Elephas maximus indicus: one gene and its partners. The protein of the gene in region 1 purifies or fractionates together with the protein of each later gene. This does not show direct contact. Links are inferred from orthologs where the notes say so. Each region holds a gene or a part of one and is shown in the gene's direction. Other genes may lie near its edges. The genes, in order: EZH2, HDAC2, CTNNB1 and SMARCA4.

What was found.
Region 2: the proteins of EZH2 (region 1) and HDAC2 purify together in Homo sapiens (affinity purification with western blotting; 5 studies listed by BioGRID, with this or other methods). This does not show direct contact. The link is inferred for Elephas maximus indicus from reciprocal best matches to the Homo sapiens genes EZH2 and HDAC2.
Region 3: the proteins of EZH2 (region 1) and CTNNB1 purify together in Homo sapiens (affinity purification with western blotting; 4 studies listed by BioGRID, with this or other methods). This does not show direct contact. The link is inferred for Elephas maximus indicus from reciprocal best matches to the Homo sapiens genes EZH2 and CTNNB1.
Region 4: the proteins of EZH2 (region 1) and SMARCA4 purify together in Homo sapiens (affinity purification with mass spectrometry; 4 studies listed by BioGRID, with this or other methods). This does not show direct contact. The link is inferred for Elephas maximus indicus from reciprocal best matches to the Homo sapiens genes EZH2 and SMARCA4.

The regions. Positions count from the first base shown.
Region 1 is NC_064826.1:1,338,046-1,345,455, forward strand, and holds the start of EZH2 (histone-lysine N-methyltransferase EZH2), read left to right. Parts: upstream 1-4,398; 5' UTR 4,399-4,511; coding exon 4,512-4,641; intron 4,642-7,123; coding exon 7,124-7,245; intron 7,246-7,410. UniProt on the Homo sapiens protein: Polycomb group (PcG) protein. Catalytic subunit of the PRC2/EED-EZH2 complex, which methylates 'Lys-9' (H3K9me) and 'Lys-27' (H3K27me) of histone H3, leading to transcriptional repression of the affected target gene.
Region 2 is NC_064819.1:180,220,107-180,227,596, reverse strand, and holds the start of HDAC2 (histone deacetylase 2), read left to right. Parts: upstream 1-4,487; 5' UTR 4,488-4,735; coding exon 4,736-4,787; intron 4,788-7,490. UniProt on the Homo sapiens protein: Histone deacetylase that catalyzes the deacetylation of lysine residues on the N-terminal part of the core histones (H2A, H2B, H3 and H4).
Region 3 is NC_064838.1:45,680,703-45,688,429, forward strand, and holds the start of CTNNB1 (catenin beta-1), read left to right. Parts: upstream 1-4,708; 5' UTR 4,709-4,903; intron 4,904-7,727. UniProt on the Homo sapiens protein: Key downstream component of the canonical Wnt signaling pathway.
Region 4 is NC_064821.1:28,999,802-29,007,230, forward strand, and holds the start of SMARCA4 (transcription activator BRG1), read left to right. Parts: upstream 1-4,422; 5' UTR 4,423-4,575; intron 4,576-7,429. UniProt on the Homo sapiens protein: ATPase involved in transcriptional activation and repression of select genes by chromatin remodeling (alteration of DNA-nucleosome topology).

The DNA.
Region 1 (7,410 bases):
CAGTATCCCCTTGTTCTGTTTGAATAATTACCTTTTGAACTATGTACAAGTTCCTCATGAGCACAGTTAAGTGTTCTGGAATTCCAATTTTCTGCCGTGTTATCCATAATTTGTTATGATCCACACAGTCTAATGCCTTTGCATAGTCAATTTTTATATACTAATAAATGGAGCTCTGGTGGTGCAGTGATTCCGTGGCCAACTGCTAAGTGAAAGGTTGGCAATTTGACCGTGGCTCCTCTGGAGAAAAGACCTGGCGGCCTACTCCCGTAAAGATTACAGCCTAGGAGACCCTAAGGAAGTCCTATGGGCTCACTGTGAGTCGAAATGGACTTGGTGGCACACAACAACAGATACTAAGGAAATAATTGTGACATAGTTTTAGGACCAGAGCACTGAAAACTTGGGCGATCTCTTTAGCAGCAAGTCATAAATTAAGTGTCCCCCTCTCCCAGCAAAACAAAACTCTTTAGAGTTGCGAGCATCTATATAAAAAAAATTTTTTTTTTTTTAATTAAGTGAAGCTTGCATGGCTGTATACTCTGTGTATCACCCAGTGAACTCTGCTGTCATTGGCTTATAAAATTTGTATTTACATCCATACTAGATTGTTGATTAAAGTTAGAAAGCTTGAGAAACTTTGATAATGGAAAAAAGTAAATGAGGAGTATAAAAAAGATCCTGCAAATTTTTTCAAGATGATCTTTATCCGTTAATTGTATTATATGAGCTAAATTAATAGATGGCGTATCAACCTGTCTTCAGTAAATTTTTAAGTGTTGAAAAGACAAAACATCATGACCTATTCATTTTAGTGTCTTAATTTTTAATACTAAAGACCATCTTTACGTATGTTACTCGCTGAGGAATGCTTATAAGCAAAACAAAGATTTAAGAAAATAAGACGATTGATTTTTGCTAAACATTGAATTTCAAACATCATTAAAGCCACCCTTGTGTGTTTTTGATCCAGTAGCACATAGTGAAATTCTCTATGTTCTATCTGCAGATACATGAGTATCTTCAGTGTGTTTACAAGTAATAGCCAGTTACTGAGAACCTTCCCTGTGCCTAGTATGTGTACAGTCTCCAAACCAAGCATTTTACTTTTGAATTTTGAAAATCATGCATTTTAATTATTTAAAAGGAAACACCATGTATCATTTGTTAAATGGGAAAAGTAGAATCCATCTTCATGGATTTTATAAAAGATTCTGTTAAGAGGAACTTAATTTTGAAGTATGCTGACCTGTCATATATTGGGTGGAAAAAATTGCAGCGTGAGTGTCCCTGTTCATCAATTCTGATCTACAGTACTTCAGTATTCAAATTATTTAATCAGTGTAAGCAGAATTGGCAAAATTTAATTTTAAAGCCCCAAGTTGGAATCGTCTTGATGACTACTAACAACAGCAGTGGTATTGTATGTTACCATAAAAAGTACTTATGGGTTAGAAAAGGTTGGAAATGCCTTCTAGAGTGAATTAGGGACTTGTAGTTTTTTTTTGTAGATGGCAGAAATGTTGCTCGAACAGGCTGGAAAAGATAAGTTGTGGCCCCTCCTTAGTAATTTTGCCTGTTTGGAGAATATTTGTTTGCTTGAAATAGAGCTCAAGTTATGCTACAAAGAATGTGTATTTTGACTCCCCGAGTGGTGTAAACGGTTAACGTGCTTGGCTGTTAACCAGAAGGTTGGAGGTCTGAGTCCACCCAGAGGTCCTTTGGAAGAAAGATCTGGGGATCTACTTCTGAAAAATCAACCATTGAAAACCCTGTGGGCACAGTTCTATTTTCAGACACATGAGGTGTCCATGAGTTGGGGTCAACTTGATGGCAACTGGTTTTGGTGTAAAGGAAACCAGCATTTTAGTTAGGAGAGGATATTGAAATCATATTGCTTAAATTTTGTTGGGTTTGGATTTGACCTTCTTTAGCTGTCTGTTCAATTGAGAGTGAAGTTAGTGCTATTAGACTAGTTAGGAAGGATGAGCGGTACTTGTAGTTATCACTTGGTTTTCTTTGGACAAGTAGGAACAACTGGAATGTTACCTTGGTTTAGCAAATCCTTTTTAGGAGTAAAGGGCCTTTAAGAAAGGTAGCCAAGGGCACTGAAGTGCCGGCTAGGGGACAGTTTTTGGTTTCTTGGCCTTTAGCAACTGAGTGAAGGACAGGGAGTCTTCCTAGGTAAGGCTTCTCCTAGGTAGACCAGAGCTGGACTCAGCTGGACTCAGGGCAGGTGCAGCCTGGTCATCTGAGAGGTAGAGAGGCTTGTCTCCTAGTGGGGAGTAAGTCAGCCCTGCATCACTAGTCTTCAAGAATGTCGCTGGTGAAGAGGAAACCTGCTGCCAGGACCTGCTGCTGCAGGGCATGAAATCTCAGCCCTGGATGTCCCTTAGCCAGAAGCCCCTGCACTTCAGGTGGTAGAAAGCCTGACCCAGACTGGTTTAGACAAACAAAGGTAGTTTGTTGACTATTGTAACTGAAGGAATGGGGAGGTGACTTGGCAGGGCTGGCCTGGCTCAGGGCGTGCACAGTGTGCCTGCGGTGGTTTCTTTCTTTCTCTTTTTCTGTTGTTGACTCTGCTCTTTGCAGACTCTCCTTCTGTGGTTACAAGATGCCCCCAGCAGTTCCTTGGGCTGCATGTTTCCATGTTCAAATCTAGTAGAGACCATTCCTAAGAGTCCTTGTGATGGACCTATCACTGTCTCCAGGGAGATGGTGTCCTTGGTCAGCTGAGTCGCCTCCTCAGATGTTCCTGACCCTTGGAGGATAGCTGTGTGAGTCCCTGATGAGGGGTGAGTTGAAGCAAACACTCTTGTGTTTACTTTTATGGGCAGTGAGGTTAAAGGGCCTGCCCGTGTGGGTGATCTTTCTGAGATTGGTTTGATTCATAAAACAGGCTGGACTTTGTGGTCTCTCCTGAGTTTTATTTAACCTGTAGAACAGCAGTCATGGAAGGCTGTACTGTATTCTGTGAAGGGTTTGATCGTCCCTGGCCATAGTCTGGTTTGGCTTTTGAATTTTCACTCACAGGTAGAGTCTCGTTCCAATCACTGGAGTTATGATTTGTTTTGAATGAGGAAGCTGTTTTCATATCCTGGATAATGTCATTTCACCTATGAAACTAGAACATCTTTCCAACGAGAAATTAAAGACAGAACAAAACAAAAAACTGGTTGTATCCACAAGTCCCCATCCACGTAGTAGCCAGTGTTTAAATAAATGTTGCCTTTGCCGCTACATCATATTTGGAGCTTTAATCCTCGAGCACAGAAATGGAGTCAGAAGGCCCACTTGAGCCCAGCTCTGCCCTGTCGTGGGAGGACCTGCTGTGGGCCAGCTGAAGGGCCAGGTATGTGTGTGTGTGGCTCTCATTTGGTGTATCTGACAAGCCTTGAGGGTAGGTGGTGCTATCCCTGTTTTTGGATGAGGACTTTGAGGAAATACCAGCTTTCTTATCAAATGTAAATCCCAGAGGTGCCAGGATTTGTGCTCGAGTTGTATTCATCGGTAAGGGTAGGTGAGGCCACAGGGCCCATATTCCGTCCCTGAGATTCACGGGACATTTCTGCCTCAAGTGCGGGCAGGCAGCCTCCCTTCCATACCTGGGCCCAGTGGGAGACAAGCCTGCAAGTCATCCATTTCAGTGTTTTTTGTTTTTATTTGTCTTTAAGTCTACTGTTTGCCAGGCACGTAGCCAGGCTCAGGGGTTTTACAAGTGAATAAAAACGATTCTTCTATTGAGGAACTTAAGAGTGGGAGCCGACCCGCTGACAAACGGGAAAGCTAGACATTCATAGACAGACATAGAGTGCTGTGAAGGCGGGTGGGCGTTTGTTTTCTGTAAAACATCCTTCTCAGTGGTGCCTTAAATTTTCTCATCTTTTCAAGGATCTGCCTACCTATCCCCATACTTTGAAAGAACAGTCTGAACACTTAGATTTATTTCTTAGCTTGTAATTCAGAGGTCACGATCCTTACATTTTGATAGTTTCTCCTGAATGAACTAGCATATATGTGTGTGTATATGTGTGTGTGTGTATAGTGTGTGTATATATATGCATGTATGTGTGTGTATATAATGTGTGTATATATATATATTGTGTACGTCTATATATGTGTGTGTATATAGTATGCGTATATGTATATAGTGTGTGCGTATATATTGTGTGTATGTGTGTGTGTATGTGTGTGTACGTGTATATATGTGTGTGTGTGTATATAGTGTGTGCATATATAGTGTGTATGTGTGTGTATGTATGTAGTGTGTGTATATAGTGTGTGTGTATATATGTGTGTATGTGTGTGTATGTATAGTGTGTGTGTGTATATAGTGTGTGTGTGTGCGCACGTGTATATATATTTATCCCCCCCCGCCCCCCCCCCCCCCCCACTTTGCAGTTACCAGACCATCCTGTAGGTTAAAGTCTTAACCTATGTACTTCTTTGGAAGAGTGTTGAGAAATTTATAAGCATAGAACTTATGGTATATGCCCTCCTTTTTTCCCTAAATGTTATTTATTTTGTTATTGAGAATATACACAGCAACGTGTATGCCCTGTTACAGAGATGTTTGTTCTGGAGTCAGTTCTGAAGTGTCGTGTCGACCTGGCATCCTGTCTGGCTCAGGTGGCATCTTCGGTAAGAGGGGAGAATCTTGTCATGGCAAGCTTTATTAGAGACCTTGCTTGGAAGGAGGGCAGCAGTGCTCAAACAATACAGTGCTGTCTCTTCACCAGGGCATAAAATGTGCGTCTTAAAAGGCATGTTGCCGCAGTACCCACGCCACAGTGCATTAACTGAGCACCACAGTCCTGCAGGTTTTATGGCGCAGGGGCGCCAGCTCCAAGGACCAGGAAGTGGCCAAGGCAGCAGGTAGACTAGTTGTCATGATCCAGTGGGCTCTCATTTTTAGCTGATTCCTTTCCCTTCTAGTTTCTAGGCCTTTGGAGTGCTGAAAGGTCTGAAAAATTTTGCGTAGAAATACTTACGCTCATCTGTTAACTAAGCTAGCATGTATGAAAGCAAACACGTCACTGAACTATTGACGTGTTTCTTCCTAACTGACGTCTTTTTGTCCTGCTTCACCTTCCCTTGCTAACCTCATTTTCTGCTTGAGTTAGTCTTCTCCGTTCTAACAACCCACAGATTTGCCCAGCCAGCCCCCTCAGGAAGGCCGTCCTTGGGGCCTGTGACCTTCTTCAGCCCTCATTGTCGCCCCTGCCCATCCTCAGAGCTGTCTCCTCCTCTTTCCCCCACCCTTGCTCCTGTTGACAGTGTCTTCCGGCCAGCTCCCTGCCTTCACCTGCCCCACGCCCAGCTTTCTCGAGCTCATGCCTTTGTTGTTAGTTGCCTTGAGTTACCCGTGACTCATGGTGACGTTGTGTATAATAAGGAAATGTTGCCCATTTTTGTACCATCTTCATGATTGTTGGTATGTTTGAGTCCATTGTTGGTGGCTGTTGTGTATCAGTCCATCTCACTGAAGGTTTCCCTCATTTTATGGACCCTCTATTTTATCAAATATGATGTCCTTTTCTAGTGATTGGTCTTTCCTGATGACCATCCTCGCTTCTAAGGAGCATTCTGGCTGTATTTCTTCTAAGATGGGTTTATTTATCCGACAGTCCACAGTATATTCAGTATTCTTTGGCAAAACAACAGTTCAAATGCATCAGTTCTTCTTCTGTCTTCCTTTCTCATTGTCCAGCTTTCACATGCACAGGAGGTGATTGAAAAAGACCATAGAGTCCCTCATACCTCAGAGAAATCCAGCTCATCTTTAAGGCTCCCTTGTCCTGTCTGCCTGCAGTCCTTCTCAAGTGCGCATCCTTCTTCCCCACTCTTCCTAACTCTGACCTTATAGGTACTTTTGTGTCTGGAGCGCGTACCAGACTGCATTTGCTTCTTTATGCCTTCTTGGCTAGAGTGTAAACTCTGTAAGGGCAAGGTGTGTCTCATTCACCTTTGTACACCTGTTACCTGCTTCATAATAGTCATTTATTACATGCTCGAGAAAATGCCATTCTTTGTCTCCCTTTCTTTCAGCTCTGAATAAACCACCTTCTGCTTTTGCATCACCATGTGGTTGTGGATGGAGTATTGTAGAAGTTACCACTGGCCTCAGGACCCTTTTTCTTCCTCTGAAGCTTCTCCTCAGGCAGTGCCGTATGCCTGAGGGTGTTATGTGCAGAGGTGCATGCATCCCTGGTTAGTTATTCCATCCAGAAAGCTACTTCCTCTCTCACTTTCCATTTTAAATCATCACGACGTCCTGGTGACGTTATCTCCTAAGTAACCCCTGGACTCATTCATTCTTCTCTCACTGCAGTCTCTGGCCTAGAGACCTCTGCCAGCAGCTCCCCATAGCTGCTCTCTCCCTGGCTCCTGCCCTGCAGCCAGCAGCTGCTCCATGTGTACCCCACCCTCTCAGTGCTGGATGACACTGGAGCAGAGGTCCTTGGTGTGCCTATAATAAAGCTCTGCCGGGAACTGCCCATCTCATCTCAACATGTCATGTGACCTCTGTGCTTTTGGAGGAAATGTGATAGAAAAGGATGTGACTTGGACCTAAGTGGGCTCCAAGGGTGCTGGGACCCCAGGAAGTGGGGCCCACCTGGGAGCGAGCCGAGGGCCACACCTCAGGGTTTGTTGCATCTCTCGGCCACTCTGCTGGCGGGAGCCCCTTGTAGAGGAAGGGGCTCAGGTGGGGAGTGCTGGGATGCAAGCTTGCTGTGTGCTGCACGGGTGGGTTTCCACCCACAGTGACTGGACCTATCACCACTTCTTTCTGTTGACCCCTCTGACTAGTCAGTTCTGCCTTCTGTAACAGCCAGTTTAGTGACAAGAACTTAGAATGTGCTCAGGCATTTCTTTCCCACAGAAACAAGGCTCTCAGAGAGTAAGAACTGTGGAGGCAGTGCCCTCTGGTTCCTGTCATGCTGTCACACCCTGGAAGGCAGCTGGTTTTGTGGGATATCTTCAAGGTGTAACTGCAGAGTGTCTTGCAAACATGGGTGGTATGGTGTGTGGTCATTGATTGTCACTGCTGGGATTACAGCCTCAGCAGTCAGCCTAGGCTGGCCAGATGAGTGATTTTATCATGAAACCGTTGCTTCTGCAGTGATCATGGGCCAGACCGGGAAGAAGTCTGAGAAGGGGCCTGTGTGCTGGCGGAAGCGCGTAAAGTCCGAGTACATGCGGCTGCGGCAGCTCAAGCGGTTCCGGCGGGCGGATGAGGTCAAGGTGAGATTGGCTCCCGTGAGGGGCACACACCCACCCTGGGTGGCTTTTCCCTAAAGTCAAGTAAGCTTTAATTTGAATGGCACATTCCCACCAGAGTCCTGTTCACAGCAGGGTCCCTTGAGCTGTCACAGTTAACTCCGCAGTGTCCCCTGCACATCGGTGCGC
Region 2 (7,490 bases), on another chromosome or scaffold:
TGGTTCAGAAATATATATTGTTTTCTGTAAATGGATAATCATTAAATTTTGTTAAACAAAGGCACAGTTCAAATCACATCATAATCTCTCATGTTTGGCGTGCTGTTCAGGTTTATGAGTTACAACTTGTAGTAAACCAAAAAACCTGTTGCTGTCAAGCTGATTTCAACTTGTAGTGGCCTTAGAGGACAGAGTAGAACTGCGCCACAGAGTTTCCAGGGAGCACCTGGTGTATTGAACTGCCGACTTTTGGTTAGCAGCTATAGCTTTTAACCACTACACCACCAGGGTTTCCAAATAGTCACCGTGCCTCTGAAGTGATCAGAATTCAGCTTGAGACTGTTTTAGTTTGTAACAACACCCAAGCATCAGTCGCTATGCTCCTCTACCTTCTGTATTACTTTATAGAATTACTGCACAGAATTTAACACTAAGAAATCTAAATTTCTTTAGAGTAGAAACAAGATTATATGAAAAGCTCTTTTATAGCAACTAAAAATTAAACTATCTGCTATAGTTGGTAATAGGGTACAATTTTTAGGGAAAGCTCAGGCAATCTGTTTTTAAACAGTCCTGGTTTAAATAATCCCTTTAGGTTTAACAGATCATTTTACTGAATAAGCTCAAAGCACCAAACATCTTTGAGACTGAAAAAATAAGTTTATATAGACAGAGCAGGAACTAAAGCAAAATAGTTTAAGGATGAAGACAATCTTCAATTATGAATTCTATCAATTATTCACACTCTCAGCTTGTTTTCTTTTATTGCATATCATCTTAAACTTTCTGTTTTCTAATGGAAAAAGGGTTGATGGAGATGTTTCAATATGGGAAATGAAGTTTGGAGTTTATCAAAGGGTTCCAATAATGGATCCTTCTTTTGACCTTAGTTCTCATGATCTAAAGTTCAGTATAGATATTTAGGAGCATAATTCTCATGGCCAGCTCTTATCACTGGATCGAACTGCTGCAGTACTGATTCCAAAGGTAAATTCATTTGCTTCTATTTGTTTCAAATAGTTAGATAACAAATAATATAGCAAGGTCCGTGTCGTGGATTGAATTTTGTTCCAAGAATTTGTATACCAATTTGGCTGGGCCATGATTCTCCGGTAGTGTGTGATTTTCCTATATATAGTAAATCCTGCCTCTATGATGTTAATGAGGGAGGATGGGCAGCAGTTGTGTTTCTGAGGCAGGACTCAACCTACAAGACTGGATTGTGTCTTGAGGCAATCTCTTGAGATATAAAAGAAGTAAGCAGAGAGACAGAGGGCCTCATACCACTAAGAAAGCTGTGCCAGGAGCAGAGCATGTCCTTTGGAAACAGGGTTCCTGCGCAGAGAAGCTTCTAGTCCAGGGGAAGATTGATGAGAAGGCTGAGAGAGGAGGACAGTGAAAGCTTTCGCCTGGAGCTGACACCCCGAGTTTGGACTTTTAACCTACTTTACTGTGAGAAAATAAACTTCCCTTTGTTATGCCATCCACTTGTGGTATTTGTTAAAGCAGCACTAGATAACTATTACTGTCCTTAACCAATCAAGATTCATGTTCAGGCTCTTCTCAAAAGGTCAAGGCTAGGTGTTGTGAATGTAAATGACAAAAATTATTATTATAATAATTTGTACTATAAGAATAATCATAGTTGCCCCTTATATTCACATACTTCTTTACAGTTTAAAATGTCTCCATATTAATTCTTATTTGAATCTGTCAATATTCATATAAAAAATTACTCTCCAAGTAATGCTATCATTTTACAGATAAGGCAATTCAGAGTGGAAAAAAAGAAGTTTAAGTGACTTGCCCAAAGTCACACAGGCATTAGAAATGTAATTATGAACAAGACAAACACAGTCCCTCTTCTTACAAAGTTCTGTTCCAAAGGGACATTCTGATAAGTGGGCAACATGGACACTATAACACGGTGAACGTTGAGCTAGAGGGGCTACAGGGCCCTAGGGAGCATGTAAAGGGCACAGAGAATAAACTTAGGAGAGGGGATCTGAAAGAAGTGGAGTCTCATTTCAGACTTCATGAGGTTGCCTATGGGGGAGAACATTAGTTTTCACTAAATTAACTTATTCTGTTCTCAGAATCTACCAAATTGAGTTTGGACTCGTTAGAGCAACACTTAGAAAGTCAATGCCATGTAATTGACTTTACCTCTAAGCCAATGTTTCTCACACTGTGGTTCCTGTATCATGGGCATCAGGCACCTGTGGTACTCGTTAAAAATAAAGATTGAGGGTGGGGAGAAGGTCTACCTTGGACTTACTTTTACTAAACCTCTTGTGTGTGAGGCCCAGGAAAATTGCTGCTGTACAGATGAATACCCTGGGAAGTTTCAAGTCATATAGCAAAACAAAATGCAAGTTTTTGATAGTAGCTCCAAATAGCTCCTGCTTCAGTTAAAGGGTGTGTGGGAGGGAGTGTGCATTGTGGGGACAATTGCAAATGATATAGTTGGGATAAGAGTGTTATACGGGGCTCTTTTAGAGTAGGTCCCTGATACATGTTAACTTAATGACCTGGGGACAGAGGTATTTATAACTTATATGAGTTTGTAAAGTCCTTTCTCTTAGGTTGCTGCTCCAATCTTCCAGTATCCAGCCAGCAACAGAATTGGTATAGTGTAGCAGCTAGGGGATGTGGATCTTAGAGAAAGACTGTTGTTGGGTGTCATCAAGTGGATTCTGACTCATAGCGACCCCATGGGATAGAGTAGAACTGGCCCATAGCATTTTCTTGGTTGTAATCTTTACAGACGCAAACCATCAGGTCTTTCTCCGGAAAAATGCCAGGTCTTTCTCTAGCAGAGCTGGAGATTTGAACTGCCAACCTTTTGGTCATCAGCCAAGCGTTTATCCTTTGCATCACCAGGGCTCCTTGGTGAAAAACTAAACTAACCCCCCCCCCCAAAAAACACAAAAAACGAAAAACCAACCCCCTTGCTGCCCAGTCAATTCTGACTCATAGCAACCCTAAAGGACAGAGTAGAACTGCCCCATAGGGTTTCCAAGGAGCAGCTGGTTAATGTGAGCTGCCCACTCTTTGGGTAAGCAACCTGAGCTCTTTCCACTGCACCACCAGGGCAACTACCTGAGTCCAAATCCCCAGACCACCAGTTAGCAGTTGTGAGGATCAGGTTCCTTAATCTGCCTCCGTCTTAAATAACAGAAATAGTATTTACATCCTAGCGTTGTTGGGAGTCTTAAATGATATAATAAGCCCAAAACCAAACCCATTGTCTTTAAGTCGGTTCCTAGTGTCACTTTTTTTTTTTTAGTGTCATAGTGACTCTATAGGACAGAGTACAATTGCCCCATAGTGTTTTCAAGGCTGAAATTTTTACTGAAGTGGACTGCCGTATCTTTCTCCGGCAGAGCAGCTGGTGAGTTCAATGAGAACATAGACAATTAGGTTGGCAGCCGAGCACTTTAACCACTGCACCACCAGGGTTCCTATAATGATATAACATGTATCTATTGGTGGAGCAAAGCCCTAGTGGCACGGTGGTTAAGCCTTCAGCTGCTAAACAAAAAGTCACAGTTCAAATCCACCAGCCACTCCTCGGAAACCCTATGGGGCGGTTCTACCCTGTTCTATAGCGTCGCTAGGAGTTGAAATCAACTGACGGTAACAGGTTTGGTTTGTTTTATTGGTGGCGCAGTGGTTAAAGCCCTCAGCTGCTAACCGAAAGGTTGGTGATCTCATGGAACCCACCAGCTGCTCTGCAGGAGAAAGAAGTGGCAGCCCGCTTCCGTAAAGTTTAAAGACTTAGAAACCCTATGTGGCAGTTCTACTCTGTCCTACTGGAATGGACTTGATGGCAGTGGATTTGGTTCTTGGTTATTATAGGCAGAGATGAAATATAAACACAACTGCTTAGAACCGTGCCTTACACGTAAACGTTCCCTAAATGCTTATTCAAACCCAGCCAGTACACTGTTCTTGACATTTTTATTGGATTCTTAACAGGCCAGTACCTCAGACCAATTAACAGCAAAAAATGAAAGAATGAATGAACAAATGAGGAAATCAAGAGGACCAAGTACATCGGCCGTGGGCAGCACTTCTCTTCCCGCCGGGCTCACGGCACGTGGTCGGCTCGAGCGGGAGCTTCGCGACAGTGGGGGAGGGCAGCGGCGTGGGACAACACCGAGGGGGTCTAGGCGGCGAAGGCTACGGTTGGGAAGGCGGCGACTGCGCAGGCTCGGGACAGGCGCAACGACTGTGCTAAGATCCGAGGGGGAGAACGGCAACCTGTCTCCAGGCTCCCTTTATCCACCTGCGGAAAAAAAGCCTGCCTTTTTTTCCTCGTTTCGTGACGGTACTTGGCTCCGCCCTCCGCAAATAGTTTGTTCAGGGTTAGGGCTCTTAACGTAAGAGTGAGTGGACCATCTTTCTCTAATCGTGCTCCTTGCTCCCCTCTAGAGGCCACAGTGGACGCGTCCCACCTCCCCACGGCCCCCGGAGGTGGTTTAGCTGCCTCCGCCCCCTCCCCAGTGTCGCTAGTTGGCGCCTCTGCCACCCCCTTCTCGGAGTGCCTGGCCCCTCGGCTGGGTGGTACCGACCCCTCCCGACACCCCCTCCTATCCTCCCTCCGGCCTGCCCTTCCCTGAGGGACTGCCACCTCCACCTTCGCCCCTGCTCTGTTCTCTATCCGCCGAGCCGCGGCGGCAGCAGCAAGAGGAGGAGCCGGTGCCCGGAGGCGGCGGTGGCTGAGGAGCCCATGGCGTACAGTCAGGGAGGCGGCAAAAAGAAAGTCTGCTACTACTACGATGGTGAGAGGCCGGGAGGGTGGGCGGGCAGAGCTGAGGCTGCAAGTCCGGGCCGCGCCAGGCCCGGCACGGTGGCCGCGGTCGCCAGTGGGCGCCGGTGCTGGGGGTGTGAAGGAGGAGGGACAGACGTTTGACTGAATCTTAACCCGTTCCCGACCTGGCGCTGCCAGTGGGAGATCTCTCCGCCGCGACCGGCCCCGCGGACGGGAGCTGGAGGGACGCCCCACTTCCCTTCTGCTCCCCTTTCTCTGGCAGTGCGGCCCACTGCCCCGAAGGTGGCTGCTTCTGCGGATGGCGCCGGCCTACCGCGGCTTAGTGGTAGTGGGGAAGGGGACAGCCCTCCCTCGCGCCTCTCACGCTTGCCACTCGTGGGAGCGGAGGTTTGGGGTCCCTTGCTCTGGCCGTCTGCACCCGATCCCTCTCCCGTCCCCCCCAGGTCAAACTGTCTACCCCGGTCCTGACTGCACACAAAGCCCTGCGGCCGCGGGAGCCCCGCCCCTCCAGCCCCCTCTCTGTCTGCAGTCCCCGCCCGCCTTCCCCTCCCCTCCCCAACCTCCCCTCTTGCCCCCGCGGTGTCAGCCCGGTGCGTCTTCTCCTTTCTCCTCCTCCAGCCTCCCCCCCGACCCGCCGACCCGGGGGTTGCTCCTGAAGAGCAGTGAGTGAGGATGTGGCCCCTAGTACGGCTTGTGGCACACTCCCACCTGTGTTATGCGTGGGCTCAATCCCTCTCCTTTGTTCACTGGGCTCTTTGAGCGCCACTTTCGCGGGATTCCAATGAAAGGGCTCCACTTCTGCAGGAAAAATTAGGGTTTTCGAGTTTGAGGCAGTTAGCCTTCCCGGGAAATAAGAGGAGGTGGTGGGGAAACGTGGAGCTGTTAATGCTTGCGTTGTAGCTCAGCCTCGTTGGGTCCTGGCTTGCCTCTGTGAGAGGTGGTTCCCACCCACTCTTTGTTGCTCTTTGTTCGATCAAGAATTATACCGTGCTTTGGGGTTTTGGAGAGCTTTGGCATCTGGCTTGAGAAGGCTGTCCTAGGTGAAAGGAATCCTGGTGTAGGAACACTTGGAGGAGTAGTGCAGAAGTACTAAAATTTTTCATCAGGTAAACTGGAACTCACAGTACAGTGAATTATAAAAGTTGGATAATTCAGTAGTTTCTGAATCCTATTTCCTGTGTCACTCTAAAGTATACTAAATGGAGTAGCAACTTATTTTACAGATTTAAGCAAAAACGTTAACTTGATAGTTTCTAGTACATGACGCTTGAGAAGAAATTTCAAAATTTAACAGAGGTGAGCCTCAATCGCCAGAAAACCCTTCCTGATTTGTGTGAGGCACAAATTTTGGATGCTGCTTCCTCCATTTGGTGTATTGTAAATCACAAAATCTTACAGTTGGAAAAGACCCTAGAGGATTAAAAAAAAAAAAAAATTAGAGGATTAGGTGAGAATAAATCTGACCTTAACTTGAAAAGAGCCATATCATGTATCTTCAGTGAGCAAGGATTAAGTAGTCTTTATGCCTGTTCAATGTAAAATAACCTCCTTTGTTGTCTGCAGAAAGATCTGATATCAAAAATCTAAATTGTCTGATGTATGGTAGCTAGTTGGTTTTATGGTGGGTAGTACAAAACAGAAACAGCCATATTTAAAAAAAAATTGTTGAGAGGATTGCATACATGTGTAACATAAATTGATGTGAAATTATGCAATGTCGTAGGGGTGGAGATGGGAGTACCTTTTAATTTTATCACAAATTACATTTCTGAAAGTTTGTTGTTTAAGAATCATGCATATTTAGGTTACTGGTGAAATCCAGGCTCTGCCTTCCCTGGTCAAATTGAAAAGTAAGTTAATTTTTAAATGATTTTGTTTCTGATGTTCTTCTCAAGGCTTTGGGGAATGGGGAAAACTTTAAAAGGACAGAGAACCTGAGGTAAGGCTCCTCCTGCAGCTGTTAGTTACTGTTGGCAGTGGTGGGCTCTGATGGAGCAAGCTGACTTACGACTTCTGGTCACCGGGCTTGAACTGTAGAACCAGGAGGTTCACTTGAGTAGCAGTTTTCTGAACAGCTGTTTGTTCCTGGGTCCATCTGTGATGAACCTTTGTTGAAGGAGCAGGGACAAGATGGGTCCTAGGGCAGGGTGCAGACTTGATAGGCTGAGAATATCTGAGAGTCTCATGATTGTGGCTTAATACTTTATTGTAGATCATTCAACTGCTTTACCTGAAAGGCCAACAACCAGGTGTTTAACTGACAGAGTTTGGAAAAATCTTTGGTGGGTCATCTGTCTTTTGTCTGTGGCTCTTACGTGACTCTTCATTTTTAGAAGGGGATATTTAGTTGCTTACACTTTAAATATTTGTGGAAAAGAGTTCCTTTTGTGTGTATGTGTCTGATACAATATTTTGCAGTTTTTTTTAATCGGATAAAAGCCATTATGCTAATTATTAATATGAGCGTATGCTAAATGGCACAATTCCAGAAGCTTACATTTTCATTACCAAAAAACTCTATTTAGTCAACTTATAAAGGTAGTAAATAATACTTTTTTCTTTTCTTTAAATTATAAAGAAATAGTATACAAGTAAAACAGCTTCCGCTCCAAAGAATTATATGACCTGAAAGTATGAACGTGTATAGAATTGTGGGTGGGGAGTTATCAGTAGTAATAAGCCTGAATAATCTTCTAGCCTAATTTATCTAGTT
Region 3 (7,727 bases), on another chromosome or scaffold:
TAATTTTCTATTTCTGAACTGATTTGTAAGAGAATAAGGGTAACTGAAATTAGCAAAGCATCACCCCTCACAAAGATGGCGCGTGCAGAATTTGCGAAAGCGGAAAAGAAGGTGAAGGAGAAGCAAAAAAGGGACGGCATACTGCAGTCTGGGGTGGTGAGTGTTTGGATGGGGGTGGGGAAAATGCTGCAGTTTTCATGAAATAATAAGGTGGGGGAACAAAGGCATACAAAGAGTAGGTTTTTCATTGTTTGTAAAATATAAACACAGATGAATTCTGTCTTTGGTTGGTTCATGCTTTTCACTCTGCACAGCAGGGATGTTCTTAAGAAGTTGCCCTCTGCGAAATTTCACTAAATGGGAACCGTGGACCCTGCATGATGGGATTATAATCACACCAGCCACTCCTTTTACATAATTTTTTGTTTAAGATCCAGTAAGACTCCCTGTTTTTACTATATATAAAGCAATAGACATGTCTATGTCGATAAACTGAGGATTTGCGTCCCCATAGCCTAGCGCAAGCTAAAACAAAAACTGGTGATATCGTATCTACAAATCTCAATGGACTCAAAAACAATATGAAAATTTTTAGCTGACAAGAACATGTCTGCTGCCTGCAGTCCTTGCAACAGCTCACCATGTTGCCTACTAACCGAAAGATCAAAAATTATCGATTTCATGGCGCTGCGTGCTCTGGAAAGAAAAGCTACTTTAAAATTTGCATTGTTTAAGAAATGAGTTAAAAGAATCTTTTTTTTTTTTTTTTTCCTGAACACTTTGGAATGTGAAAATGGCTTGTTGTTTTAATCTTATCCATGATTTACCATAATTCTATTATTTTTAGCAGCTGGAGTCCAGAAATCATTTTTTTCGATGAATTTAGGATTTTGCCGCAGTATACATCTGCAGTCCCAGAATCCTCCGGTAAGTTAATCCTTCTTGCGATGGGAAACGCCTTTAACCTTCCTGTGAATGAAGTATCTGCAACCATTTTGAAATTTTTATTAGAGGTGTGTGCGTGTGTGTGTTGGGAGGTAGACGGTGCCTCCAAAGCATGATTTCTTAGGGATGTGGCGGTATTTGTATTAGTACTTAGCAACATGGAGAAACAGATACCTTTGTGTTCTTTGAATATCATGGGTGATGTCTCCATTTCTCGTCCTTCACACTTTCTATGGTTGCCATTAAAATGTACTTCCTCAGTATGGCAAGGAATGTCCTGCCAAACCAGCGAAGGCCTCCGGAACACAGAACTGCGAGCAGAAGGGTGTTCTTGGCATAACTGAAGAGGCCATGAACATAACGCTACTGCCACCACCACCACCACCACCACCATCGTGTTCCACCACCTTCACGGCCCCTCATTCGATCTGAAATGCACACCAGACGCAAGCTTTCCACACTGACTCTCCGCCAAATCTGCCCAGTGGGTTCCCAGATTACTTGTGTGTGCGAGAATAGCCAACCATGTAGTCTGACAAGAGGTATTTACAACTACTTAGCCTGTTGAGCTGGAACGAAATCAAAAGATAACACTGAACCCTGAGATGATGTATTGCAAATCAAAAATAGTCCATAAATAGCCCACTTGACGAACTGCTAAATGAAAAACTGACCCTAACTATTGTCTGGTGTTTTCAGGTTGTCATAAATACTTTTAATGTGCCTTCCTAGAGAGTGGGGATTTACTGTTTTTAAAAGCACGGACTATTATTTAGTCTTTTTGTTGGGGGGGGGGATTCCTTTTAAGGGGATTCCTTTTAAGGGAATTCGGATGTAGAGTCCAGAGACCACACCCTGATTTCACAGCTCTTGTTTTCTGTTTCTATTTCCAAGTAGTGCTGATTAACATTTATAATTATTAATTTAAAGGATCTAATACAAAAGATCCAGTCATCTGTTTCCTTCTTGCTAAACGAACCTCATTGTCTTAGGTGCTCAATAAGTGTTTAATTAATAGATTTGATAGAGTTAACCACCCAAAAAGTGAACTGGCCTTCTTCACAATGCTGACTCGATAAATGCTTCTGTCCCAAGTGCAAAAACAATCTCTGGGCATTTATTCCTTTGCCTAAAGGTGATTCAAAGGTATGTGTTTTAGCAAAGGGATGCTTTACGTTCGATTCTGTGTAGTCACTGCTTGATCTGCCAATGGTCGAATATCACAATAATACCTCCACTGCTAAACCAGCTGGAGACGTGCTGGGTTTCTAGGGACACTGGCTGAAATTTAGAACCATTTGTCTGTTGCAGTCTCACAGAACGAATTAATTTATCTCAAACTCAAGTGGGCTGGCTCTACAAGGAAAAGGTGATAATCAAGGGTTTTTTTTTTTTTTTTATGAAATGTCTTGCTCAAAGTCAATTTTTAAAAATCATTTTTTACAAAATCACTTATTTCACCAACTCATTAGGTATTTCGATACTTGTCCTTTGGTTTAATGATAGTATTTATCTTCATTGCACAGAAGTCATCTCATATTTTTGATGAGACAATTGGAACAATTTGTTTTATGAGAGGAGGAAATAAGTAATCGGAGAAATTTGTTAAATTCAACTGATTTGTTTTAATGCTAGTCACCCAATAACTCTTCAGTATACTTACATCTGACGGGAAAAACTGCTTGCTGCATTGCTGCAAATCTTATCATTTCCTCTAAAAACATGTGTTTGCTTAAAGTATCAACAGATTAAAAACATTAATTCTATATTTAGAGAAAAATGCTTGGATTATTTTGGCACCTGAATACAGACATACAAATTTAAGAGTATTTTTATCCTTTAGATTGTCTAATGATGCAAATATTTCTTACGCCAGTGTTAACACCATGCCTTATTCAGCAAAAATAAACTGAGCATAGAAAAAGCAAACATCTGCTAAAAAAAACCCTCTAAATACTGTTTAATCTGTCATCTGATTTTAAGACATATGACTGTAATCAAATCAACCCTAAATTCTTTAACTCTGTACAGAAGAGTTAAAATTGGGGATTAATACCTGGAAATACCATTTATACTTCTGAGTTTATATTAGAAATATTGCTTTGATTAAATACCTTTTTCTGTTCCAATTGTCTAAATTACGACCAGCTGAACTGACCACAAGCATCAGCTACACTTAATTCCACAGATTACTAGCAAAACTGCATATGATAAAGTCATTCTGGACAATAGATCTCACTGAGTATCATCTTAGGGCTTGGACTTTTTCATTGCAGGAACCCACATGGGCTATGGCGATAGACGACAGTTATCATAACTGTATATAATAAAGTATTTTTTAAAACTGCAGAACGGAGTTTAACCTACTGGCCCTGAAGTATTAGCTATGCTAAAACTACCAGTGCTACTCCTTGAGTGAACCAGTAAGGCTAGGTTTCCTGCCTGTACCTATGTATAAACGCTTCTTGTTTGCATGCATTAATTATAATTCTGGTATAAAAGCCCCAACATAACTTTCACTGTTGCTTTTTGTACTCTCTTCATTGCTTTAGATGAAAAATAAGCATAAAGCAATAGACTAGAGAAAGTGAGTCGATAATAATTGTTTCAGCTTTCACAAATGCCAATCTTGCTGGATTACAATGGGGACATTTCCAAGGGAGATGAAGACCCAACTTCAGCCTATCAAAACGAATTAGAAAATGTTTTTGTCGTTGAAGAAAATTAGCTTAAAAAAAAAATTAGAGGCTGTCTAGTCGACAACTCCTTCCGTAAACAACATACTTCGCTTTCTCATGTAACACCGTTGAAATACACCTCCCACAAAGAAAAATCTCCACAAATAAATCTACCGGTACTTAGCACAGCGGAACCAGATAAAATTGGAATCTATAAGAATTAACCTAACTGACTGTCTCTAGCTAATCTATCTCCATTAGTCATTTGTTCACAGTAGGCACTCATAAGGACTTGTTGAATTGCAGACCTGGCGCACAATCTAGAGCGCAGCCTCCCGTAGTGGGATGGAAGGCGGCTCGGCCCGGTCGCTGCCATCCGGATTCAGGCTGCGCAGCCGGTCGGGATGCGAGATCCACGATCCTGACGGTGGGGGGCTTTGGGGTGGTGTGCAGCTGGGCTACGAGCCTGGCCTGGCAGGGAGTGTGTGGCACAGACCACAACCGGAGTCCCCGACGGACAGCGGGGCAGCGGGGTCGGCGGCGGCGACGCCCAGGCAGAGCTCGAAGGCAGGCGGGCCCCGACCCCGGTGCCCGCGCCGCCACCCCTCGGCTTCGAACTTCCACCCTCCGGGGACCCGGCTCTGCCCGCTCCGCACAGCTCCCGAGGGTCGGGGCCCAGGGGCCGCCTCGGGCGGGCGGCGAAAAGCGCGCGGCGAGCCCGGCGTCGGCTCTCATGCTCCGGTGGGCGCGCAGGGCGGGGGCGCCGGGCTCGGGACAGTGGGAGACCTCGGTGCCGCCCTGCCCCCGCCCCAGCACGCAGGAACTCCGGCCTCTCCGCCTCAGGCCATAACGCCCCCACGGGACGGCCTCCGCTCCCGCGCGGAGAGGCAACTACCGGCCTGCACCCTAAAGATGGTCTGGGAGGGCGCGCGCCCCGCCCGGGCCCGGGGCCCTGGGGACGCGGCGGGCGGCCAGGCTGCCAGGGACTACTTTCCACCGCCCGCCCGCGCCCCGCCCCTTGTCCTCGCGTGGCGGAATGCTCCGCCAGCGGCGGCAGGATACAGCGCTGCTGCGCCCCTTATAAGAGCTCCTTGTGAGGCGCCATTTTAAGCCTCTCGGTCTGTGGCAGCTGCGCTAGCCCGGCCCTGGGAGCGGAGAGCGAGGGGAGGCGGAGACGGAAACTGTGGAAGGGCCAAGGAGCAGCTTCAGTCCCCGCCGAGCCGCCACCGCAGGCCGAGGACTACTGGACTCCCGCGGCGGGCGGAGCCTGTTCCCCTGAGGTGCTGGACGCTCCTTTCCTTACCCTTCCGGGGCTGCTCCTGCTCCCTCTTCGGAGCCAAACTTCGTCGCGGGCGCGCGGTCCCGGCAGCCGGAGGGGACCCGGGCCCGTTGCAGCCCGGAGGCCCGAGGCGGGGGGCGCGGGCTGGGGCGCCTTGGAGGCGGCGGCGACGGGCCGCGCCCGGTGGACGGAGGGCGGCGGCCGGGCCCCGATTCCGCTCGCGCTGCCCCTCGGCGGTCCGGGGGGCGCCGCTTGGGGGAGGAGGGGGCGCCGCGGGGGGCGCGTCCAGGAGCCCGGATGGCCGGCGGGTTGGGGGGGCCGTGGTTTCCGTCCGGGGCTCCGGCCGCGGTCGAGTTTGGGGGAGGGACCCTGGGCCTCGGGATGCGCCGGGGCTGGGGTGGGGGGCGGGGGTGGGGCTCCGCCTTCCCAGCCCGAGTCGAGAGTTGGGGTTCGGGCGCTGGGGAAGGGGCGCTACGCTAGGTCGCTCCTGCGGTGGGGACACAGCCAGTGGGCTTTCTAGAGTCCCCTTTTCTTTCCCAAGGAGAATAAGAAAATTATTATTTTCTAATGCCTGTGCGAGTTTGGCACTGGCGCTTGTTAAAATTGAAGCAACTTTAAGCCTTAGAGGAACAAAACTCTTCAGTGCAGCCGGTGCGATGCGCCAGCAGGGTTTGCCCGTGTAAGATTTGTGTCTTGCACCTAAATTTTCTTGTGTCGGGCAGGTGAATGATAGCCAGCGAGGACGCGTGGGATATTACTGGGAGTCTTGGGTTTATGTAGGTGGGTGTGAGACCCAGTGAAATGGGGGGGGGGGGAGTCCGAGGGCGACGGGCTGACTGTTAGTGTAAAGTGAAGTGTGGGACTTTGCCTCTGTTTTGAGAAATCTGTTCGTAAAAGCATTTTATTCCAATAGTTTTATAATTAAACTATTTTTAGAGCACATTTTTCCCCCCCAGCAGAGAGAATTTTTCCCCAGCTACGAAATTGGCCAAGTGTAATTCAAGCACGGCAACTCCTTTCAGTGTTTTGTCTGGGGGAAAGGCTTTTTTTTTTGAACAGAGACTTTTCGGAGTTCCCACAGCCCGCTTCTCAATCGGCTAAGCTCGAAAGCTTTGGCAGTTTGTTGTAGTTGTTTCCTTCGTTTTCTGCTCGCTTTTGGAGGCAGCATTGTCTCATACTTTGTATCTTCCAGACATCTGTGGTCTCCCCTCCCCCTGAGTTTGTGAGTGGTGAATGAAGAGAGACTGGGCTGCTGGTATGCAGAGGTCGGCAAAAGGAAATCGAGGAGTGGTTTTAGTGAAATGAGAGCTTTGTATCATGAATAGCGGTGGCTTAGACTAGACAGCGACTTGAAGAGACGGCAGCGTTTCTTTTGATAAAGTCTAGGCTAATCTTTTTCAGATTGCTAAGTTAGAAAAGTATTTTGCCTGGAATTTAGGAAGCCATTTCACTCTTTGTCCCTTGGTGAACATTTCATACCTTCAGAGAAGTTTTCTCCTTGCCTTGTCTTCATCCTGAGAAAGTAATGTTAGATAAAACTTGAAATGCTAATTAAGGTCTGCTGCTATTTACTTCCTGCTTAAATGAGTGACCAAGATGTGTTGTTTGGAATCTTTTCTTTTAAGTGTGATCTAAGTCTGCTGCTACATTTGTTTTACTTCTACATTTAAACTCACAAAACCTCTGGATTAAAAAAAAACAGTACCATCAATGTTTATTTGAGACTCTCCTTTCAGACTAGACAAAATTTGATTAATTTGCACCCAATATTCATTAATTTGACCTAGTCTTTGTTCTGAAGGCCATGTACAAGGACAAGGCCCTAAAGTGATTGCAACAGTAACTGAAGAACTTGAAAAACTTGAAGAAGACTGTTCCATAGGATTAAAGGAATGCAGAGACTATTCAGGTTTGAAGTCCTTGAGGGAGAAATAAAAAAACACTGCGCTAAAAGTCTCAGTGTAGCACGTAACTTAGAGTCCTTGTGGCTTCCTAGGCCTGAGAATTTTTCAGAGGCCAGAACGGTCATTTTCGATAGTTGTAAGGGAAAACTAACACTTTTTTTTCCCACAAGGTAGCTAATAAAAAATGAAGCATTTAACAATATAGAGGTGTCAAGAAGCAGTCAAGAGTTTTTTTTTTTAACCTGATTACTTCATTTACCAAGATTAATTTGTAGAAAAATTTATATTCAAGTATTAAAACTTATTGAACTTTGAATTGAGCTTTCTACTGCTGTTAGTGATGATTGGAGTAAAAATTGTCGTAAATGGAGTTCCATATGCTTGTTTTCATAAATCCTGTTATCCAGGATAGAAGGGAAAACATGAAGTAGGCAAGTTTCCCCAAATGTATTTTGAGATGTGATGTTTAGAAAAACTATCTGTGGATATCTTTTTTATTTGTTTAGTTGCGGGGGGAGGGGCATGACAAGTCGAATGTTGAAACTAGGGCCATGGAGAAATCTAAAGTTTGAATATCATTCTTACATGGTTATCAGTAGCAGTGAAATTAAACACCAGAAATGGACTGTGTAAGTATATTTATCTAGATGAAACTTGTATTATTGAAATGAAACAGTGCATCTGTCCAGTTATGAGTCTATTTCCCTTTCCTGGCTTAGTAGTTGCTGATAATAATTATAGATGAGTAGGTGGTAAATTTTAAGTCTGTTCTTTGAGCTTGGCTACAAGCACGCTTGACTGCCAACTCAAGGTGGAAAGAATGAAGGCTATTAGAGCAAGACAAACTTCCGGTGAAAGTATTGGCAACTATTTTCTAGTGCTGTATGTTGACTTGTAACATTATTTTTGAAAACACTGTGT
Region 4 (7,429 bases), on another chromosome or scaffold:
TGCTTATTGGTCCAGTTGTGATGATTTCTGTTTTCTTTTATGTTGAGGTGTAATCCATACTGAAATCTGTGGTCTTTGATCTTCATCAGTAAGTGCTGCTATAACAGAAATACCAGAAGTGGGTGGCTTTAACAAACAGAAATTTATTCTCTCACACTCCGGTAGGCTGTAAGTCCAAATTCAGGGCGCTGGCTCCAGGGGAAGGCTTTCTTTCCCTGTCAGCTCTGGAGGAAGGTCCTTGTGATGCATCAGTGTTCCCTTGGTCTGGGAGCATTTCAGCACAGGAATCTCAGGTCCAAAGGACACGCTCTGCTCCTGGCTGCTTTCTTGGTAGTATGAGGTCCCCGTGTCTCTCTACTTGCTTCTCTCTTTTATATCTGAAAACAGATTAGCCTAAGACACTATCTACTCTTGTAGATCTCTTCAGTATAACTGCCACTAATCCATCTCTTTACGTCATAGTGATAGGATTTACGAAACATAGGGAAATCACATCAGATGACGATGGTAGATTATCGTACAATACTGGGAATCAGGACCTAGCCAGGTTGACAGATAATTTTGGGGGACACAATTCAATCCACGACATGCTCTTTATAACCACACCCACTTCCCTCTTGGCAACCACTAACCTGTCCTCAATTTTTAAATGTTGTCATTTCAAGAATGTTATATAAATGGAATCGTTTATCAGGGAGGGAGCAAAGGGTCTGTATGTCACTGTGAGGACTAACTTCGTCTTTCACTCTAGGGAAGAAGAAAGCCACTGGAGGGTTCTGAGCAAAAGAGAGACATGATGGAACCTAAATTTTAACACCTATTAAACATCCAAGCAGTGGTGTCTGGGAGATAGCTTTATGAAGTGTAAGGGAAAGGTCAAGGCAGGAGGTACACACTTGGAAGACATCGGCATGTAGGTGGTTTTGTAAAGTCACATGCCTGGAAGCCAAGGGGGTGAATGTAGATAGAGGACCAAGATCTGCATTCTTGGGCAGTTTACTATTAAGAGTTTAGTGTGACAAGGAGGAAGCTGCACAGGAGACTGAGAAGGAGCCGACAATGAGGTGGGAAGAAAACCAGGAGAGTGTGGTGTTCTGGAAACTAAGTGGGGAAGTTGTTCCAAGGAAGAAGGAACGGGTCAAGTGTTGCTGAGAGGTAAAGGAAGGCGAAGATGAGAATTAACCACTGGATTCAGCAATGGGAAGGTCCCTGTGACATTGACAAGAGTTACTTCAGTGGAGCAGGAAAGACTTGACTAGAGCAAGTTTAAGGGAAATTACAGAAGCCCTAAGTAAATGGAGAGATAGACCATGTTCATTGATCGGAAGACGTAATATTGTTAAAACTGTAATTCTCTCTAAATTGGCCTGCAGATTCAATGCAATCTTAATACAAATCTCATCAGGTTTTTGGGTAGATATTGACAAGCCGATTCTAAAATTCTAAATGGTAGAAATGCAAAGGACTTTGTCAAAATATTTTTTTTTTAAAAAAGAACAAAGCTGGAAAACTTACCCTACCTCATTTCAAGACTTATTATTGAAGACAGCGTGGTGTGGGCTTAAGGGTCGACATATAGATCAATAAATAGTCCAGAAACAGACCCATACTTAAATGGTCAAGTGATTTTTTTTTTTGACAAAAGTAACAAGGTAATTTAATGGGGGAAAAGGACAGTAGGGAACACTAGGCGTTAGAATGGTTGGCTACCTCTATGGAAAACATTGAACTTCTGGCCTTACCTCATACCATACATAAACATTAACTTGCAAGGGATTACAGACCTAAATATAAGAGCTAAAGGCATCAGCTTTGTTTAAAGTTCCCCCAGGGACTCCAAGGTATAGCCCAGAATCACTGGTCTATAGAATTGTTTTCTATAGGCATCTTGTCCCTAAACCAAAACAGGATTCTAGAGCCTTCCCTTCCAGGGTTTCTAGGTCTCCATTGTCCCAGCTACACAGAAAGCCCAAGTCTCACTCTTAGCCCCCCTTCTCCTTCACCCATCAGGTCCAGTCGTTCAAGGTTTATCCATTCTGCCTCCAATTTCCTCCACCCCTCTCCATCTCAACCATCTTCACTCTAGTTTAAGCTGCCATCCTCTCAACCTGGGCCACTCCAATAGCCTTAATGGACTCTCACTGCCTCTCCTTTTCCTCCAGCCTAATCTCTGCCCAGCAGTCAGTCACGGGATTCTCCTGATTAAAGCCATTCAACTGGTTCCCTCTGTGCTACCGAAAAAGTTAAGAATCCTCACCTCAGCCCTCAATGCTCTGCCTGGTATGACTGCTGCTGACCACGCCCCCTTGCCCCCCATCACCATTTCTTCCAGCCACAGAGGTCTTTTTCTGTTCCCATGCTCTTATTCTTTTCAGGGTCCTGTTCCTCTACCTAGTGCCCTCCTTCTCCCTGCTCTTGCTCATCCTTCTTGGCATCAATACCATTTCCTCAGAGAGGTTTCTGTGACTCCTCAATCCAGGAAGACCCCGTTATGATCTCGTTGCATCCTGGGGACTTTTCTTTTCTATCACATATTAGTAACCAGCATGGGAGACAGTTGACTAACATGTGGACTGTGTGCTCCGTGGGTAGGAACCCTTGGTAAGTCACTGTAGGCCTGTGACCAGCTCAGTGCTTGACATGTTGAGGGAACTTAACAAATACTACTTGAATGAGAGAGGCTGAGGTTCAGACCTACTTGTCCATTTTCTGTGCATTACTCAACATTACTTGCTATAAGCAGCCTGTGAGGTGGATGCCATTATTGTTCCCATTTTCCAGGTGAAGAAATTGTTATGTAGATGGGACAAGGGAACTTGCCTGGTATCACCCAGCTAATAATACTGGAGTCAGGTTTTAAATCCAGGTCTTTTGGACTCCAGCATGAGATCTCACCTTCTGCTAGAAACTGCAAGTCACTCACCTTGGGCTGATGTAGGTACGACACCTGGCACAAATACACTCGAGACAGTCTCTATTATTCTTTCAATACAATTTTTAAAGTGTCTATTATGTCGAGGTATGGGGCCCTGGTGGCGCAGTGTTAATAGGTCAGCTGCTAACCAAAAGATCCACGGTTTGAATCCACTATCGGAAGCCCTATGGGTCAGTTCTGCTCTGTCTTATAGGGTTGCTATGACTCGGAATCTACCCCACGGCAACAGGGTTTTTTTTTTTTTTTCTTCTATTATGTTGGGGAGGAGAGCACCAAGCTAGATGTTGGGTATTCGCTAGTGACTACAACTGGTTACATCTTTGCCATTTAAATTGAGATGCAGAAGACAGATGATAAAAGAGACTATCCATGAAATATGAAGGAAGGGAAAAGTAGGCAGTGATCAAAAAGAAGGCAGGTCTGAAGTGCTGAAAGTCAGCTGAAACCTAAAAAATGAGGAAGAGCAGGCCTGGGCGAAGCAGTGGGAGGAGCAGCCCAGGCCGAGTACTACAGGTTGTGGGACTTGACCTTGGTGAGCTCTTGTCCGGTTAGGGGCCGAATGAGGTGGCGCTGAAAGTATTTTAAAAATACAGATAAGAGCCCTGGAGTCCTAAGGCCTTCCCACTTGCCAGTCCCTTTGGTAGGAACAAGCTCTGTCCCTCACTGCTGTCACGTTTAGTGAGAAGTCGTCTTCGCAGCGAGACCTTCCCAGCTTGCCCTATTTAAAGTTTCCACGACACTGCATGTCTCCGTCCTACAACATATTTTACTTATCTTTTTCTTGTCTGCCTCGCCCCCCACACTAGACCCTCAGCTCCACACCGGCTGGGATTTCAAAGGTCTGTTCGGTACTACAGCACCAGCGCCTGGGACGCAGTAGCAGCTCTATAAATATCTGCTGAACTAATTAATTAATGGTACTCGGTGGGTGTTGCAGAGAAGGCGATCACAGCCGAGCCCGTCTGGCCTCGCAGAACAGGCCCCGCCGCCCCGGGCCAGGGACGAAAGCGGTTCCCAGGCCTGTCACTGGCCCGCGGACGACTCTGCGCAGCCCCGGCCCCTGTTGGGCTGTCTCTCGCCCTCATGCACGGCTCCGAGTGTTCGTATCCGAACCTCAGGGTCCCTCGGCCAGCCCCTGCCCGCACACCCCGCGACCACCCTGCCCCATCCCCCAACCTGCCGCCGCAGTGACACCCACTCCGCGCATGCTCAGCGGCGTGTGGACGCGCGTCGTGCGGAGGAGGAAGATGCCTATGCGCAGGCGCAGGGCCATTCCGGACCGAGCTGGGAGGTGCGTCGCGCGCGCGTGCTCCTTCTGGGTCCCGCCCACCTCCCCTTGCTCTCGCGCGGGCGCGCACGCGCGCGAGGGGTGGAAGGGCCGGCGAGCGCGCGCACGAGGCCGGGCGCCAGCGGAACTCAAGAGGCCGTCCGTGGGGGGAGGGAAGTCGGCGCGCACGCGCGCGCAGCGGGGGCGCGGGCGGTGGGGGGGCGGCCGAGGCGGGCGCGCGCTCAAGGCTTCCCTTCGCTCGGCGGCGGCTGTTTCTTTGTTTCGTGAAGAGAGGCGAGACGCCCACTGTGCCCCCGGCCCCGCGCGGAGGGGCGGGGGCGGCGCCGGGAAGGCAACGCCGCCGGCAGTTCGGGTAAGGAACGCGGGCTGCGAGGGGAATGCGGCGCGGGCCTTGGGAAGACGGTTTGAATGGAGCCGGGGCGCCGAGGGGGGAGGGGGCCGCCGGCGCCCGGAGCGGGGCCGGGGTACGGCGGCGCCCGAGGGTCAAGAAGCCCGGGCCCGCCGCCGCGCGCGCGGGGAAGGCCACAGTGTAGGGAGGCCGCGGTGACTACAGTATCCGCGGGCGGGCGGGCCCAGGGAAGGGGGGCCCGGGCCTCGTGGAGGCCGCGCGCCCCCCGCGCGCGCTCTCGCCGGGGTCGTCGGACAAAGCTCGCCTCCCCTTCGACGGGCCGGGGGTCCGTCCGGTGTCGCGTTCTCTGGGGAGGCTGCAACAATAGCTAGGCGTCGGGGCTTTTCTGGCTACGTTGTAGCGGGTCCGACCTGAATGTTGCCTTTTTGGCGAGGCTGTGGTTGGGGCTGAGTATGAAAAAACACACATGTGCCCATTGTCGCCTGGACATGAGCGTTAGCAGCCCTTTTGGTAATCAGAAAACCGACCTAAAATTTTATAAATAGCACGTCATTCCAGACTTTCAAGGAAACGTAAATAACTCCCCCAATTTCTTGCAGGTAGTGACTTCAAAACACTGCCCTGAAGTGAGGGGAGAGGTCGGCGGCAAGCGGGCGGGGGGGGGGGGTGGAGAGGATGGAGGGAAAGATTTGCTGTTGAAACATTGTTTTTGCTTTGTATCCTTTGCCCACTCTCCCAATTTATTTTCCAGATTAAGGCAGTTATTTAAAACGTAGACTTTTCAGGCAAGTGTTTCGTGCTGATCTCAGACATACCAATTGTAATTTTTTATGAGTGATCTTTCGGGAGAGTAGAAAGGATATAAGTGTTAAGAGGCGCTTCCCAGGAATTTGAAACAAGCTTTCAGTTTGAATTGACAGACTGGATTCAAGTTTGATTCCTGGCGCTGTTGGTCATTTAGCTGTGTGACCTTAGGCAAGGGGCTTAACCTCTCTGGGCCTTTTAGGCTCCTTGTTTGTGAAATGGGGATAATTTCACAGATGGGGCTGGTGAAAGCCTGTAAAATGGTTCCTGGCAGGTATGAAGCACTATTCTTATTGTATGGTCTGATCTCCTTCTTCATTGCTCAACAAATATTTGTTGAATCTCTACTGGGTGCCCCATGTTTTGGGTTTGGCTGCCCTCAAGAAGTCTCTCCAGTTTTGTAGGAGAAACAGGTATAAGTAGATGTAGCAAAAGTGGGTGGGATGGGGTGTGCAGGGATCAACCCTCCGTGGCCTGTCATTCACATGTGCCCTGTGAGGGGGACACAGTGGAAGTGCAGGGGAGTTGGGGGAACCAGAGATTAGGGAGGCTTGCATTGGAAGAGGTGGCATTCATGCAAGATCAGGGAAGATGTCCAGGCTTGTGTTTTGACTGGCAGGGATGCCACTTCAGGGACACCTTCCCTGACCACCCGGACTGGTCATTGTTCCCTTCTGCTACACACTGATACATCACGTTGATCCTTTCCATTGTAGCAGTTATCCCAATTTGTAGTTACACGTCCATCCTACTCGAGTCCCATCAGAACAGGGGCCATGTCTGCCTGGTTCTGTGCAGTATACCCTGGACCTGGCACACAGTAGGCCCCCCCCGTGAACATTTTTGAAGTGAACTAGTGGGTCTTTGGGGGAATTGAATGAATATGTGTGTGAAGTGCTTGGCTTAGGACTGGGGGTGGGTTGTAAGCGGTAAGGGTTAGCTGCTGTTGTTGGTCTTTTGACTTTCCAGGCCAGTGTTTCCCAAATCTCAGCACCCCCTGGAATAGGGGTGTAGGATGCCATGTGTGGACAGTATGGGGTGGTGATGAGAAGTGCTTGTTCTGGAATCAGACCTGCTGAATTTGCATCCAGTCCTCGAAATCCTAGCTGGTTTTGAGTAAGGCACTGAACAATAGGTCCCCCCACTTGTGAAACAAGTATGATGATGAGGCCAGCTCAAATGGGTGCTTTGAGGATTGCCTGAGATAACATGGGAAGCACCTTAACACTGCAGCACCTGACATACAGTAGCACTCGAATTTGTTGGCCTTAATGTTGTTCACTTTTTTTTTTGGTAAATTAAGTGTTTAAAACACTAAAAATAGAACCTAGAACCATCCTATATCCCAGAAACCCCAGGTTTGAAGTGCTGGTTATATATACAAAAACCAAACCCTTTGCTGCCAAGTCAATTCCAACCCATAGCTACCCTGTAGGACAGAGTAGAACTGCCCCATTGAGTTTCCAGGGAGCTGCTGGTGGATTTGAATTGCCGACCGTTTCATTAGCAGCTATGTCACTTAACCACTGCGCCACCAGGGCTCCGCTGGTAATATATTTTCCCTCTCATTTCCTTTAAATCAATAATTATGAAAATCCTAAGTGTTCCTCCACGTGCCACCTGAAATCATTTTGTTTGCAAGCCCTTCAGGAGAGATGGTTCTTGGAGATTTTTGATCAGGGTAGTGACATCATCAGGTATACATCATCAGGTATAGGGCAGTGCAATGGTCTCCACACTTTTCCTGTCAGTAACGATTTCTTTAGGTGAACATCTAAATTAGAGGCATACCTCTGCCACTCCTTGTGGACCCTCAGAATGTTAGGAGGTAAGCCTAGATTACTTCCGCGGTTCCCGTGTTACCCAGTACTTAGCAGTTTATCTGATATGGGGAGTCTGCAAGGGCCTAAGTGTGCTGAGTGGATGTCTGGTGAACAAAATTCTGCCACTGAAGATGCTGAGGTCCAGGGATATCTCTTCACCAAGGGCTCTGAAGCCAACTGCCCAGGTTGGAGTCCTGGCTTTGCCACTTTTCCCCTGTGCCACAGTGAAA